2 linked regions of the Diceros bicornis minor genome follow. The main gene of each other region encodes a partner of the protein of the gene in region 2 in a complex. Links are inferred from orthologs where the notes say so. Each region holds a gene or a part of one and is shown on either strand. Other genes may lie near its edges.

Region 1 (7,758 bases), on a different chromosome or scaffold from region 2:
CAGGCTCTACTCCATCCCCTTTATTGCCCCCAGGACTGCCTAGGAAGCTCTATTCAAGTTAGTTCTGACAATCCAACTACCTATGCTACTAAAGTACTAGAACCTAAAACAGGTGACAAGCCCTCAATTTCTGATTCATTTTTCCCAAACACTAAAAGGTTTCATTTAGCATTTCTAATACTGACTTTACTACAAATAGCCTAAGCAACATTTAAGTCTCTCTACCGCCTTGCTCAAAGGGCCAATTCACTCAAAGAACACACTAGTCACTGTTGTGGGGTTCAAAAGAAGAAAACAGCAAATTCTTTCTGTTTCTGAGCCCACTGTGACATGGCTCAAGAGGGCCAAATCAAGGAGGAGTCTTGATTGGGCCTCTCAAGTGGACAATCTGGTCAAGGTGAGGCTGAAAAGCAGCTGACTATTGGAGATGAATGGCCCCAGCAGAAGGCAAAAGTAGGTTACATCCCTTGGTTACATGTCAGCCCAAAGATGCCGACATACTGGGATTGGTCCCACAATGGTCATTTATCTAATGTAATCCACTAAGTGAACTTTTAGCACCAAACTACACCTCAGCTGAGTGTTATTAGTCATCAGGCAGACCAGACAAGAGTGGAAATATTGCAACATAAATCCTGCCTCCCTACAAAAAACAACTTCAAACTTAGATCCTGATGGTCATCTTTGTAGACCAACAGGGGCATATTATTATCACTTGCCCAACCTTCAACTCTAAATTCACACACAGCTGGAAGCAAAGGAGGACTCGTACCAGAATACATTTGGGGTATTTATTATGCAATTTTAAATACGAGCATATGAAACAAAATACTGTAAGGAAAAAGGTGTGCCCTCAATTGAACATTCCACTGAATTCTGAACACACAGCTTGAGGTTTATCTGCCAGAAAAGCCCCAGGTGACCACAGCTGCCTTCTCTCCCACTCTCAGCAGGGTGATTTTTTTTTTTTATTACAATAGTCCAACAGTACCTGCAAAATAGTAAGTGATAAGACTGTAGGAAAGGCAACAGAAATAATCAAAAAGGAGGATCATTTTCTTTTTCTTTCTCGCTCTTATTTTGCCTACCTATTCTGAGCCCGCCTCGACTTCTCTGACTAGACTCTTTTCACTCTCCCCTTTGCTCACTAGGCTCTGGCTATGACTGCCTCCCATTCCCAGTCCTCCCCCACCTCTCCACCTCCTTTTACCCCACCCCTTTCTTCCCACTCCCCAGAACTTGCCAAACTAACTCCAGCTAGTTTCTGCACTAGCTAGTCCCAGAAGCTGGAAGGCTCCTGCTCTATCTTTGCATGGCTGCCTCCTTTTTATTTAAGCTCATGTAAGCTTTTTACATAAGGCTCAGCTTAAGTGTCACCTCCTCAGAAAGGTCTTCCTTGACTGAATCCTAGTCAGACACTTTCTATCACATCATTCTTATTTTCTTCAGCACTTAGCAAAACCTGATTTATTTGCTTATTTATTATCTGTCCCCATCTCCCACTCCCCTATAAGCTCCATGAGAGCATGCACCTTATGCTTGTGTTCACCTTTTTACACCCAAGTGGCAGAAACAGTGCCTAGCACTTAGCAGCCAGTTAATAAATGCTCGTTGAATGAATGAATTTTAGACTTTTTATTCAATGGTTCCAAATCAATTAAAGTGTGAACAGCAGTCATTCTTTTCTTTTGTTGCATTTCTGTGAAATATCTACACATGCTGTTACTTGTACAATCAAAGCATTAAGTATTCTGTTTTATCAGGTCTGAAAGCCCTGCTGAGTAGGATGGCATCCGTTATGATAATTCTTCTAGCAATATACATGTAAACTCAGCTACAGAGGGATAGGATTTATGGATACTTTCTAATCAAAGGATCCCTGAAATTTAGGCCCTAGCTCTTAAAGTCCTTCAGAGAAAACAGTTCCAGGTTCAGCAGAGGATTTCCAAAGAAAATATCAACATGAAAATAAGAATCATTACACTTCACTCTGAAATCCTTATGACAGGCTAAAGGAGCGCTACTTGGTGTTTTAAACCAACAGAACATCAACCAAGAGACCTCCTTCCAATCATTCTTTGCTTTCTTCAAATAATTTTTTCACATCCGTTACTGGTTTGTATTTTTCTTTAAAACTAAACTAAACAGATCACATTGTCTCATTTAAGACCACCTATACAAAGAATCAGCTCAATAAATAAGATGGAAATCAGCACAAGCCGAATGTGTCACTGAAGACTTGTGTGCCAGACACACAAAAGGAGAAAAAGATAAAAGAGCTATTGTCCAATTGTAAATACAAAAAAGTAATATTGGGTTTACTGTTCTCTGAAGTGCATCATGAAGTGTGGATGGAGAGAAACACAGAAATCCAGAATTAGCTTAACATCAAATCATTTTGGAAAAGAGTTGACAACATACAAATTCCTCACACACAAAGTATTTAGAGCAAGAGACCTTGATTCCTGGGCTATGATGCCATTTAGGAATCCTTGCAAGGGCTTTGGAATTCCAGTATTCATAGGAGAAAATGCTCATTTCAATCGGGAGCTACCAGATATTGAGAAGTACTCCCAGTGTAACACAGCCTGTAACTGAAGTATTACAAAGCTTGCAGTTAAGATCTGGGATAGAGGCTGAACACCAAATTCAAAAGAGGTAACCAAAACCAAGTGCCATAAAGAAAAGAAAAGAAAAAAAAAAAAGACAAAACACCACGATTACCACCTAGCCACAGAAAACTAAAGTGGAAAGGAGGGGTGTGCATGAGGGAGGATGAGGGGTGAGACGGAATGGAAAACAATTACATTTGTCACCCCGTCCCACTTCCTATACAGGACACAAGCAAGGCCTCCAGCCCCATTACCTCAGGCACAGATGGTTATCGTTTATAGCAAAGGTGCATAGAAAGGCCTTCAGGTCTGAGCCCCTTAATTCCGGGGCTGTTAATGATTAGAGAAGGATGGGGGTGGGGAGGGAAATGAGGGCGGAGGGAGCTGGAGATTCACCCACCACCTCTCGCTTGGGCTCCTACCTCACAGCGCTCACCCGGGGCATAGGACCAGAGTCTGCACCCCTCCAGGGTAGCTCCGGCCCCCAGATCCCAAGGCCCTGGGTTGAGGGGTGCTGGCAGTGGGGTGGCAAGGACAGTAGGTAAGTTTTCTGAGCCCCGCGGCTGACACGCCACAGGCTCCCCTCACAGCCTCTTCTTCCAGAGGGACCAGTCCAGACAAGGAGCTGATTTCCACTCCTCCCTTTCCACCCCCCCCTTCTCGAAGGTACCCAACCCCCGCCCCTTCATCTCTCAATGCGTCCCCTTTTCTCAACCACCAACCCCCTCCCCAAACTCACAGCTGCTCCAGAGGTTCCTCCAGTCAAACCCTTTCTGGAAACGACGGCGGCCCGGCGGGTCCAAACCACCTACCATCCCCGCTCGCGTTTCCAGGCTCCCTACCCCCGCCGCCTCCGCCTCTTCTTCCACCACTGCCGCCTCCTCCTCTTCATCTGCGGCCCACCGGCGGCGGCCGCCTCGAAGCCCCGCCCCCTCCATCGCCTCCTGCATCATCACTTCCGGTAACCCCGCAGGCCGCCCGCTCCAGGAGGGAGAATAGAAAGGGGCGGGGAGGGAACGGGTGGAAGATTGCGTCACGACGTACGAAAACACGTACGAAGCCGTCGCCAAGTAAGGGCAAAGACCTAGCGACCCGGCGGGAAGGCTAGGAGGAGCTGGACTAGACCATTTTTTTGGCTTGAATGGGGGGGAAGGATAGCGAAAGGGGTAAAGGGAAAATAGAGGATGAAGTTGGCTACATTGTTGGGTATACGGCGGAGGGTGGGCGAGAGTTAAGTTTGAGGGAGGCTCGAGACCCCCGACCGAGGACTAATGCTCCCACAGAGGTCAGCCCGGTGGTTTGGTCCGGCCTGGCCTACCGGACCTTGCCCGAACTCCGTGGACTGCGGCTCAGCTGGGCTCCGGGCGCCGCCTCCTCCCAGCCCGCTGGGGGCTGCGGCGCTTCTGTGGGTGGGGAAGGCAGGACTGACGCAGAGTGAGTGTAGGGGATGGAGACGCTGACTCCTGGCGCGGGAGACTGGGGGAAGGGGTTGGCTCCCCAAGGGCAGGGATGGGGGTGGGGGGAGTGCGACGTTGCTAGGAGACGCGCCTGTGTGACCCCAGCCTCTCGAGGGCGGCTGGGTGTCATCGCCTTTGGCCTCGGGAACCTACCAAGGGAAGCGGCCCGAGGGCCAGGAAGGGGAGGCCTGGTTTGGGGACGCCGAGATGCCTGTTTGGGGTCCATCTGAGACTTTTCTGAATCCTTTGGATCCCGGAATGTAAATGGGAGATTAATAGGGGCAATGCCGGGGGCAGGAGGCGTCTAGCTGGGGAAGGTTGACCCAAATGAGATCTGTACAGGTTACGGAGACTTTTTAGGACATTGAGAACCAGCTTCTTAATTCCTTTGGTCCACGAAAGGAGGCGTTGTGCCATGACTTTTTATTCGAGTCCAGGAGAAAGTTAAAAAGTAAATCAATAAGGAAGATATCAGACAGTGAGAAATGCCCCCAAGTCGTAGAAGTCGTAGAAGCTGGGGGGAGGGCCACTCTAAATCGGGTAAGGCTGTTCGGAGGAGGCCAGGTTTTGCGGAGATCTGAGAAAAAGAGGGAAGTAGAGGAATGAGCTTTCTAAGTGGAGAAAAAAGCCAACGGAAAGGCTTCTGAGGAAGGGAACGGCGCGAAGGCCAGGTGGCTTGGAGCAGAAAGAACAAGGGTCAGAGTGGTCAGTAATGAAGTGGCAGGGCCTGATCCAGCCCAAGGTAAGGGTTTGGCTCTTATGTTACCAGAGGGTTTTAAGAAGGGGAGTGACCTGCCCTGGTTTACATTTTTTAAAAAATCACTCTTGGTTGCTGGATAGAGAGGGCTAGAAGTAGTCAAACCTGTTAGGAGGCTGTTGCAGTGACTGGCCAAGGGAGAGGTGATGGTAGTGTTGCCGTCTCATTGGAAATGGAGAGAATTAAATTCAGAATGTATTTTGGAAGTAGAGCTTACAGGACCTGCTGCCGAATTGGATGTGAAGTGTATGGGAGAGGGAGCAACCAATGATGACTCCTAAGGGAAAACAGTTTAGAAGGGAGTATCATAAGTTCTCTTTTGAACATATTAGATTTGATAAGTCTATTAACCATCCAGGTGAAGTTGTCGAGAAGTTCGATATACGAGTCGGGAAAAGTCATAGAGGTAATAAATGTAGAGGTTTATTCCTAGATCACCTAAGAAGACGGTGTAGATAAAGAGAAAGGCCCCTAAACTCCTTGGGGCTCTTTAAATTTACAGATTACCCAGAGAAGGAGAAACCAGCAAAAGAGACTTGTACAGACAAGGCCTCAAAGATAAAAGGAGGCCCCCTTAATATCCTGTAATAATGAGACCCACCCTCATAATTAGTGAGACTCATCCCTCCACTAGCCAGTTTCTACTATCCTCTAAAATCTGGCTCAAGTCCCTTCCCTCCCTCTCTCTCCCGGTTGTCAATGCTTTTGGACTTGTGTGCAGGTGGTTTGTGTCCATTATAGCAAGTCTGACTTTGCTTGTTAATTGTTTGTATGTCTGGCTCCCCCATGGACTATTTCTTCTTTGTGTCCTACTGGCTCCTGGTACAGAGCCTTGCCTATAGGGCCCAGCATGTGGTTGTAGCTAGGTAGGAACACTGTGTTCATAAGATATCAGCCATGGACTTCCACAGCTTCTGACAAAGGGGCTTTTGTCCCTGCTGCTACTGCCACTGCCACCACAATCGACATATGGTCAATCTCATAAAATCTAGAAAGGGCATCAGAAGAAGAGTCAGAAGGCCTGAGTTTCAATCTTGGATCTGCTACTGACCAGCAGAGTGGCCTTGGATAAGGCCTTTTTCTTTGAGCTGAAGGAGTTGGCCTAGATTAGAGATTGCCAACTGGCAAAATAGATATTGCCTGCAAACATATTGTTCGGCCCACAAAGTGATTTAAATTATTTTTTAAATTTACTTGCCAACATTTAAAAATTGGACATCAAAATCCAGATTTTCAGCTTCATTTGGAAATGAGACAATCTGGCAACACCAGCCTGAGGTTCCTACACAGCAACAGTGAACTGGAGCCAATGAGCTGCTTCCCCCTCTGTTTGTGGCTCAGTGCTCAAGTTTGCCAAAGGCCTCTCCCTTCCACTACCTGCCTGACCCCTGTGGGCATTTGATTTGCAATTCTTGGTCTAGAGCTGTGCTGTTCATGTAGTTGTTTAAATTTAAATAAAATAAAAACTTAAAATGCGGTTCCTCAGATGCACTTAGCATATTTCAAGTGCCCAATAGCTACATGTGGCCAGTGGCTACCCTGTTGGACAGCACAGATATAGAATATTTCCATCATTGAAGAACATTCTTCAGTCAGTGCTGGACTGGAGGAACTTGAAGGTTCTGGGGGTGCTAATCATTCCAGATGCATAAAGGTGAACAATCTGCTCCTGCTCTCAAGGAACTATGTCTAGTAAGGAGCTCCAGTGCCTCTGCAGATGAGAAAAGTTGCTTATTTGATAGTTATTCAATAGTTGGAGGGTACTTGAAAACTGTTGTGAAGGCAGGAACCCCTGGGCAGAATGAGGTTATTTATCAGATGGTTCGATCAAGGGTCAGGTGCTAGAAAGCAGCTGTATCTAGTGTTATAACTACAGCCCTTTTTGTCAGTTTCTTAATGCAGTTCCTTAGGAAATTATCACAAAGGAAGGATTTAAATGTTAATTTAAATGTAAGTGTTTTGTGTTCTCTAACTTCCCTAGTTCCCATGAGGGGTTGAAATCCTGGGTAGTTATGAATGAATGACTGGAGTTGATCATTAGCGTTGACCTAGTTTTCATCTGTTTCCATCGCACACGCGTGCGCGCGCGCACACACACACACACCCTCACCCTCACCCTCTAACACCACCTCCTACTTCTGGTAACTGGTTCCCACCACCTCTGATTGACCCTTACCTTGTCTTTATCTTTTCTTATATGCTGATAAGGAAACAGATACTTCCATTTATTTTGAATTGAGGAACCAAAACTTGGTTTCCAAAGATAGCTGTATATCTCTTGGTTACAATAGCCTGATTGGAGTTCCCCTGACAAGTATAATCTTTTGAGTGCTCCAGTGCTGGTATATTTAGAATGAGTGTACTTGCCTCATATGATCTTGTTTGGGATAGTTTAGAAGTCTTTCAGACACCAATATTTTCTGTTTTTCCTTGTGTTCTGAAGATTTCCCATATTACAGGGCCTCCCCTAATTTCTTTTCCTTTAAGTAAAATAAAAATACCATCTACCCTCTCCTCCCTGCCCTCTATCTCTGACACACCATATTGTCACTTTCTATGTAAAAAGATGCTGTTTCAGAGAATAGCTGTGGTATGATTAAGTACGCCGCACAAGCATATCCTGAGATCTGCAAAACAATGTGTGGCATTACACTTCCCTTTTTGGATTCTAGTAACCAAAAACTGAAGCCAGGACAGGAAACAAGTCCGTGGTGTGTGTGTGTATGGAGGCGAGGAAGGCTAGAGGACAGAGATGTGTGGGGCACAGTTTAGCTTGAAGGTTATTTGATTTGGGTAAGGATGATACCGTATAGGATATGGATGTATGCCAGAAAGTAGGGGGTATAACAGATCTAGGAGAAAAGAACAGCAAAGGATAAGCAAGGGGTAAGAGATAAAGGAAGGAAAATAGGAAGGGAAGCCTGGTCATGCC
Region 2 (7,810 bases):
ATCCTTAACCTAGTCATATCTGCAAAGTCCATTTTACCATGTAAAGTAACATATTCACAGGTTCCAGAAATTAAGACAAGGACGTCTTTAGAGGACTATATTATTCAGCCTACCATATACGGTCCTACACGCACACACAGACTCTCCTACTATTTAAGTCCTCTACCAGAACTGGACTATAAAAGGCTGCACTTTTCATCAGCAGCATAGAAACACCTGAAAATACGAACTGACCTCAGTTAGTGACCAATACAAAAGAATATGCAACGCAAAACAGGAGAGAGTGTGACAAAGGCAGGTGATTTTAATACATTTCTGCAAGTGAAAGCAAGAGGCTCTGGAGGAAGGCAGCTTCTCTCAGAGCTCTGTCAGCTCTGGGGCCAGATCTGATGGGCAGCCTGGAAGAGGGAAGAGTCACAGAGGTGCAGCCTGCAGGAAGGGGCACTGAGACCCCAGGGGTGACTTACAATCTGACTGTACGATGTCCCCATTCCAGTTACAATGCACAGTCCTGGGGCCACCCACGTGGCGTAGCTGTTAAGTTTGCAGGCTCTGCTGCAGCAGCTCGGGGTCCACAGGTTTGGATCCTGGGCGTGGACCGACGCACTGCTTGTCAGGCCATGCTGTGGCGGCGTCCCATATAAAATAGTGGAAGATGGGCATAGATGTTAGCCCAGGGCCCATCTTCCTCGGTAAAAAGAGGAGGATTGGCAATAGATGTTAGCTCAGGGCTAATCTTTCTCACCAAAAAAAAAAAAAAAGAAACAAAAACAAAAACAAAACAATGCACAGCCCTTGTTAAAATGTGCCCAGCACTGCTTTAGGGTGAATGATGAAAATCTGAATCCTATAATATTTAAAAGACCACTCTGATTCAGTCCTTTTCCAGAATAGCTGTCATGGCCCATTTTATTATTTTTTAAAGGAATAAAAGGACACATGATGTTTTCCCTGGGGGCCAGTTAAAACAGCAGTCAAAAGTTAATTATACCAGATATGTAATTAAAGTCACATTACTTAGAATCTAATTGTTGCCTGGGTAGCCCCTTACATCATCATCATCGTCACCATAATTTGAGCCCCCCCAATGGCAAGGAGTCTGTCCCCTCGCTGATACCACAGAGGATCCCAGGACTGGGTCACCAGAGGGGCCGATGGGTCTTGGTTAAGACAACCTCTCCTGTTCCCCATAACCACTTCCAGCCACTCTTTGTCTGGTCTCATCTTTGCCTCATCCTCCCCTCTCCAGAGCACTTTCACTAGGAAAGGCCCAATAAAGCTTTTCCTAAAAATAACGTGACCTGTTTCCACTTTTAGCAACAGAAAGCACCAGTAGCACGTTGGGTTTTGTCCATTAGTTTTCAGCCTCCCCAGATGAATTCTAAGGCAAGGGCTATGGTCAGCATAGCTATTCTCCCTCCCTCCTTCTGCCAGCAGTCTCTCAATTCAGGTGGGACAGCGGAGACTCTGATCTCCGCTATGTGGAGCAGACCTCAGGGGTCACAGCTGAACCCCCCATTCTATAGTGACTTCCCGAGTACTAGTTCCCCAGGGAGCTCATGCTTCTGGAGGGCAGAGTCTGCGCTTTATATATTCTGTACCCTCTGACACTCAGTACCAGGTAGGTACTCATCATATAGTTCCTGCTTATTGAAATAGATTTCAGAAGACCCCGTAGGGACACAGGGCCTATGTGTGTCCACTGCTGTCCAGTGCCCTGGGCCTTGCTCCCCGGGAGAACTGGGGCTGGCTGGAGGGCAGGATGCATGTCCTGGAATAACCTAGAACGACAAAGAACAGGTTAGAGCAGGTACCAGCTGAGGGCGGAGTTGAACCCTTCCACCCACATCTACTCCCCATCTAGTGTCGCCAGGGCTGTTTCCCAATTCACGCAAGGGGTCAAGTTTGGAACATCACTAAGGTCGTGCCCCAGGGAAGGCTTGAAGTGCCTAGGACAGTGTGGGGCAGAGGGAGTGGCACAAGTGGACCTGGTGGGCCTGGCTCTGATCTCAGCTCACCCAGGCTACAGGTTTTACCTCTCGGGGCAATTCTCCACTGAAACACAGAGCCAGGAATGTCTACCCAATGGGGTGCCACTGATGTGGAAGATCTCTGCTCCATCCATAGTGAGTGCAGGAGGGAAGAGCGGAGTGGATGGCTAAGGAAGGTGTCCCTCCCCTGGCTTTCCTGGCAGAGGTCACTTTTCCTGCCTAGGAGGCCCTACCCTAACCCAGCAGGCAACCAAGCCCTTGCACTAGGCATTGTCACTCAGCTGGCAGGCTGCCTCAGGCTGAAGATTATCCAGGGCCCTGGCTTGGTGGTACCATGTCATCCAGGTCAGGGAGCCCCGGACCAGGCCAGACAGCCTCTGAGATAGCCTGTGCAGTTGTGTCCAGAGGCAGGCCTGGCTGAAAACAGAGAGGGGATATCTCCCCTTCCACGGCCCAGCTGGAAGCCTTGGGTTGAACTTCTCGGGGTAGGCATGGAGGAGGTAGGAAGGACACCTGGTGAACTGTCTCTACCTGCTCTTCCTCTGGCACCAGCACCTCTTTGGGAGACTCACAATTGAACCTCTACCCTTCCTCCCATACACAATGCCGTGTGCACACACACACACACACACACACACACATGCACGGTGGGCACGTGATCCTCCAAAGCCCAGCCAATCCCTCCCAGTGAATGTGAAAGAGGGAGGGAAGGGGCAGCCCCTTCTATGGCCTGGATTGTAAAGATGTGTTTGAGGCCAGGCCCCAGCTCCAAGGAGGCATCTGGGAGGACAAGGCTAGCCCCCAGAGGCCAAGACTCTTGGAGCCACTGAGAGCGACAGGCCAGGTTCCCCGGTTCCTAGAGCTGACCTTCTTTAGGTTCTGTGAGCATACCCAGCCTTCTAAATCTTTTGTGCTTAAGCTAGTGAAAGTTCTGTTTTTGAAGGAGCCCGGGATGAAAACCAATTGCTTCTGCAGGAAGCAGGAGGGCCAACTTTGCCCCTTACCTGCCTGCTGGCACCACCAGCTGCCTAAGGGGCGTGGTGCACCAGTTGAGGGCAAATCCTAGCTGCCATATTGGGCAGACTACTTCCTTATCTTTAAAATGGGGATAATAAAATACCCGTTTCAAGAGGTTGTTGTAAGGATTACATGAGTTAATAATCTAGTAAACCCTAAATAAGCCTCAGGTGAAGACATGAGGCAGCCTCATGAAATGGAGCTAGAAATGGCTTTATATATCCACAACGGTGAGCTGTGGGCCACTGTGCGGTGCAGCCCATCCTGTAGACAGTGTTCCCAGTGAATAAGATGAGTACTCAAGCCATTCCAGTCCTTCCTTCACCTGCCGCCTTGCTTCAAGGCCTTATTTTCTCTTGCCAGGTCTCCTGCAATAGCTCATGCAATACTTATCCAGCAGATGTATTATGTCCACCTGTTATGTGCCAGGATGGGGGGAGGGGGAGTAGAAGGAGGGAGAACACAGCAGAGGAGGGCCCGGGGAGCTGAGCTTAGGGAAATGGTAGGGGGGCGGGGGGAGCACAGGGCTCCAGTAAAGTCACAGAGGGGCACCTGCACCTCCCAGTCTCTGGGGCCTCTCTGACAAGTGGTGTCTAAGCTTGGGAAAACTCAAGTTAGCCAGGTGAAGAAGGAGGAAATCATTCCCAAACAGAAGGGATACCATGAGTTGTGTGTTCTTCACTGGTCTTCCTGACTCTACTCTCCTCACTGCCTGGCTCCCACTGCCTCAGAGTCAGAGCCTCTTTTAGAAAGAAAACTTGATATTGGTACTCCACTGTTTAAAACCTTTCAATGGGGCTTCTGGAAATAAGATTCTAACTTCTTGGTCCACGAAGTGAACCTCATCTTTCAGATGGCCCACTCCTCCAGGAGCCCTGCCCGACCTGCCGCCCAGCCCGCCCCCTCCCCCGCCCAGCGCCTATTACCAACCACACTGGGACACAAATGGACGTGAGAAGAATTCGTACTCAACAAGCTAGAAATACAACAATTTGAAACAGATTTTTAGAGTAAGTACTTTACCAATGTGGAAGAGATGAAACAGGAATAAAAACCATTAAGACAAAGGCAGGAAAGGCCCACCCACTCCTCTGCGAGCTCGGCCGAGGCACCCGGGGGGTTGGCGGCTGTTGGCACGTCTGGCCGCCCCGGCTCCCGGCCCCTACCCTGCCGGCTGTGGGGCAGCCCGGTCCTCCGCAACCTCGGCACTGCGCTGGGCACACAGAAGACGCCCCATCCGCCGAGGCGGTTAATTCCGGCCTGGCCGCTCCTCCAGGCCAGGCCGCACAGGGATCCTCCGAGCCCCACGCCCAGTGTCAACGCACCACCAACTGAATGGAGGCAGGAACGCCGCACAGAACCCCCGGGGCCGCGGCGCGCAGGCTCCGGTACAGACGGGAGACCCGCTCCCGGCCGTCACTCGCCAATCAGCGAGGGCCGCGAGATCCGCGCCCGCCCCCGGCCGCGCCCTCTGCCAATCAGCGAGGTCCGAGCAGCCTGCTTCCCAGCCCAGCCGCAGCCGGCGCACGGCGCTGTTCGCGCGTCAAGTTCCAAATAAAGTTCTTCGGAGCTTTGAATTTTTTTTTTAAAGCGCCAGCTGCAGCAGCGGCCGCTGCGGGCGAGAGCGGCCGAGTCCCCGCCCCGCCACTTCCGGTCCTGCCGCCCGGAGCCGGTGCGGCTGTGAGGGGCCGCGTCTTGCCGCTGCCGGCCGGCCGGGCATGGTGTTGGGCGCCGGGTCCGCCTCGCCTGTCTCGGGGTGCCCAGGTGAGGAGCGCGCGGCCCTGCGCGGGCGAGGGGCTCCCGCGGCGCCGGTGCACCGGGCGGGTGGAGGGCGGGCGGCGCCGAGGCCGCCTCAGGCCGTGCCGCCCCTCAGGACCGGGCGCCGGGGGCCCGCGGGCGGGTGCCGCGGGGCGCAGGCGGGGGGCGCGGGGTCGGGCGGCGGGAATGGGAAGGGCCGGGTCGGGCGCTGCAGGGCGCTGGGACAGCCCCCCCTCCCCCGCCCCCCCCGACCGTGATGCCGGGTACACACGGCCTCACGCCGCCGTCGCGGGGAGCTGCTGGCCGCATTGTCCAGAGGAAACGGAGCGCGAGTGCTGGGCCAAGGTCACCAGCCCGACGGGGCCGGAGGAAGCGGGGCTCGGACGCGGGCGGTCCGACTCGGGACTGCCTCGGGGATCAGGCTAGGCCGAGAGGGCGAGGTGGGGGGACACTCCCGCCTAGCCGGCGTGCTCGCAGCTTCCCCACGATGGGGGTTGGGGGTGGGCACGGCTAGTTTGAAGGGTTTTGCTGGCCGGGAGACGGGGAGGGCATCTTGGAAAGATCAGTACAGCCGAGTCTTGGATTCTAGACCTGGCTCTGCGGGTGTGTAATCTTGGGTGTGGCCCTCTTCTCCCTGGGGCTCAGTTTCCTCATCTGTCACATGAGGGGATTGGGCCCGCCCCCTTCTGCATTCCCTCCAGCGCTGGAGTGGGGTCAGGATGGATCGGAGGGGCCTGAGAAGGCTTCTTGGAGGGGATGTTGGAAATCTGGGTCGGAATCTGTTACCCTAGGGAAGGAGCGGGATTAGGTGGCGAAGGGAACGAGGGCATTTCAGACCTGGCTATCACATTGAGCAGAAGCTTCCAGAAATGAGCAGGGAGTTGTTGAGGAACAGGGAGGATGCTCGCCTGCCTTGTGCAGAGGATTCCCTGCTGGGTAAGCGGATGAAGGCAGGGGAGAGGGTAGCAGTGGGAGAGATGTTCAGAGACAAATCATCACCAGGCTAGGAGGTCTGAGGCTTGAGGACCTCTGCCAGGACATACCTGCCATTCAGGTAGTGTGCAGAAGGGGGCAGGTTTACTGCTGAAAATAAGAGTTGGGCTCCAAAGGTCGGTCAGCCAACCAGGGTGACTCCAGGTGGGAGGTTCCAGGGCCCCAGCATTCTGAAGGAGGAGGGTAGGGTGTGGACTTTTTTGTGTCCTGATTTGGGCCTCTTTGGCTGGAGAAGTTGGTTGTCCCCTAGTGTCCTGCAGTTCCATCTTTTACATTGAGATTGGGACTTTTCCACTGCAGGAAGAATTGTAAATGAGAAGTTCCCCACCACGTGAGCTGACTGGCCCGTGATGTCCATGCACAGGTGACATGGCCTGATTTTGCCGCTACAGGTGGGAATGTTGTGTAAATATTACTTGGTATGATGAGACTAGTAAATAGCACATAAGAATCTTCTTTGAACAGTCTGAAAGCAAGACCCACCCAGAAGAGGAACTTAACCAGGCCAATTACAACTTGTGGAATTTACAGACTGAGCATGCTGTTCAGTATAGCTGGTGCGTTACCAAAAATGCTGCCATAGTCAGAGTGTCATTTGCAGTAAAGGGGAAGTTTAGTTTTAAAATAGCTCTTTAAGGAATGAAGCATATTGAAGAAGGTAAAGAGAATTCCGAAGCAACTGCAGGTGTTCAGCTAACCTCTAGACTCTTTGAATAATTGTTTTTATTCAGATCTCTTTTATAGTGTTAATTTAACAGCTATGAACATTCCCAAATTTGTCCTTTGGTTTATCCCTAAAATGTCATGTCATAATGGTAAAGATGATGGAGAAGTAGATGGTCATTACATACATAGATTTTTTAGAATGTTAGGAAAGTGAGTTTTGTCTTATCTTCTATGGAAAACAAAACACCAGTGTTTTCTTTTGTATCTTGCCTAGTCAATTAATAAGGGCCACAGACTTGTTGAAGATCACAAGCCAGGAGTCTGTCTTTAAGTAGAATTGATTGAGTATGGAGCATACTCTGCCCACGGAGAAGAATTCATTGTGGGGTAGGGGTATAAAAGAATTAAAGGGGCTGGCCCGGTGGTGCAAGTGGTTAAGTGCGCGTGCTCGGCTGCGGCGGCCCGGGTTCGCTGGGTTCAGATCCCAAGGGTGCACCGATGCGGCGGCCCGGGGTTCGCTGGTTCGGATCCCCGGGGCGCACCGACGCACTGCTTGGCAAGCCATGCTGTGGTGGCTTCCCATATAAAGTGGAGGAAGATGGGCACGGATGTTAGCCCAGGGCCAGTCTTCCTCAGCAAAAACAGAGAGGATTGGCAAATGTTAGCACAGGGCTGATCTCCTCACAAAAAAAAAAAAAACAAAGAATTAAGCCGAGTCCTCAGACTGCAGTGACACAGAAGAGTGCCTTGGTATGAGCCTTTATTTGTGCGAGTGAGTCTTGCCAGGACCCTCTGAGTGGCTCCTTCGGTGCAGGTCCTCAGGGAGCTGGGTGTGGACTTGGCATGTGCCCTAGCACTTGCTTTCCCATGGGGCTCTTTATTATGACTTTCCTAGGGTACTGCCTGCTGAACTCTCTTTATGGACACTGTTCTTTTATTTTATTTTTTGGCATATTTGTATTGCTAAGGTTGGCTAGAGGATAAAAACCAAGTGGATTTGTGTGGTGCATCCAGCCAACTCCCAAGTGATGGATGCATATCTTGGCCCATCTTCAGGCGCCCCTGACGATGTGGTAGGACCGATGCTCAAGTCTGGGTGTGTGGCAGTGGACTTGGTTGGGAAGGCAAACACTGCTTTGTGATCCAGATCTGCTTAAGGGATTCCTGACAAGATCATTCCAGGTGGGGGCTGAGCAAGAGAGCCTGCTCTAGATGGTCCTGCTGTCTCTGGTAGCTTGTGGGCTGGAGCCCCCACGGGTGTTCCTGACTCTACGCCCACCTCCAGCACCTCCTTGTGAGGTTACTTTGTAAACTGAACCAATAGCTGCCTGCCCTGGGTAAAGCTGAGAAGATGTGCGTGCCTTGGTTATGGTCCATGCTTCTGT

The links.
Region 1: the proteins of UBE2F (region 2) and DCUN1D3 are in contact, whole or in part, in a crystal structure (PDB 4GBA), measured with the Homo sapiens proteins. The link is inferred for Diceros bicornis minor from reciprocal best matches to the Homo sapiens genes UBE2F and DCUN1D3. Residues at the interface, in NP_001265234.1 of Homo sapiens: Leu2, Thr3, Leu4, Lys7, Leu8; in NP_775746.1 of Homo sapiens: Glu108, Glu109, Glu112, Pro122, Thr123, Glu124, Met139, Cys140, Glu194, Ile204, Ala207, Leu208.

The regions. Positions count from the first base shown.
Region 1 is NC_080765.1:29,849,429-29,857,186, forward strand, and holds the start of DCUN1D3 (DCN1-like protein 3), read right to left. Parts: upstream 3,447-7,758; 5' UTR 3,425-3,446; exon of another isoform or gene 3,352-3,424; intron 3,154-3,351; exon of another isoform or gene 3,067-3,153; intron 1-3,066. UniProt on the Homo sapiens protein: Contributes to the neddylation of all cullins by transferring NEDD8 from N-terminally acetylated NEDD8-conjugating E2s enzyme to different cullin C-terminal domain-RBX complexes and may play a role in the cell cycle progression by regulating the SCF ubiquitin E3 ligase complex, after UV damage.
Region 2 is NC_080776.1:25,401,749-25,409,558, forward strand, and holds the start of UBE2F (NEDD8-conjugating enzyme UBE2F), read left to right. Parts: upstream 1-4,666; 5' UTR 4,667-4,772; intron 4,773-7,810. UniProt on the Homo sapiens protein: Accepts the ubiquitin-like protein NEDD8 from the UBA3-NAE1 E1 complex and catalyzes its covalent attachment to other proteins. Together with the E3 ubiquitin ligase RNF7/RBX2, specifically neddylates cullin-5 (CUL5).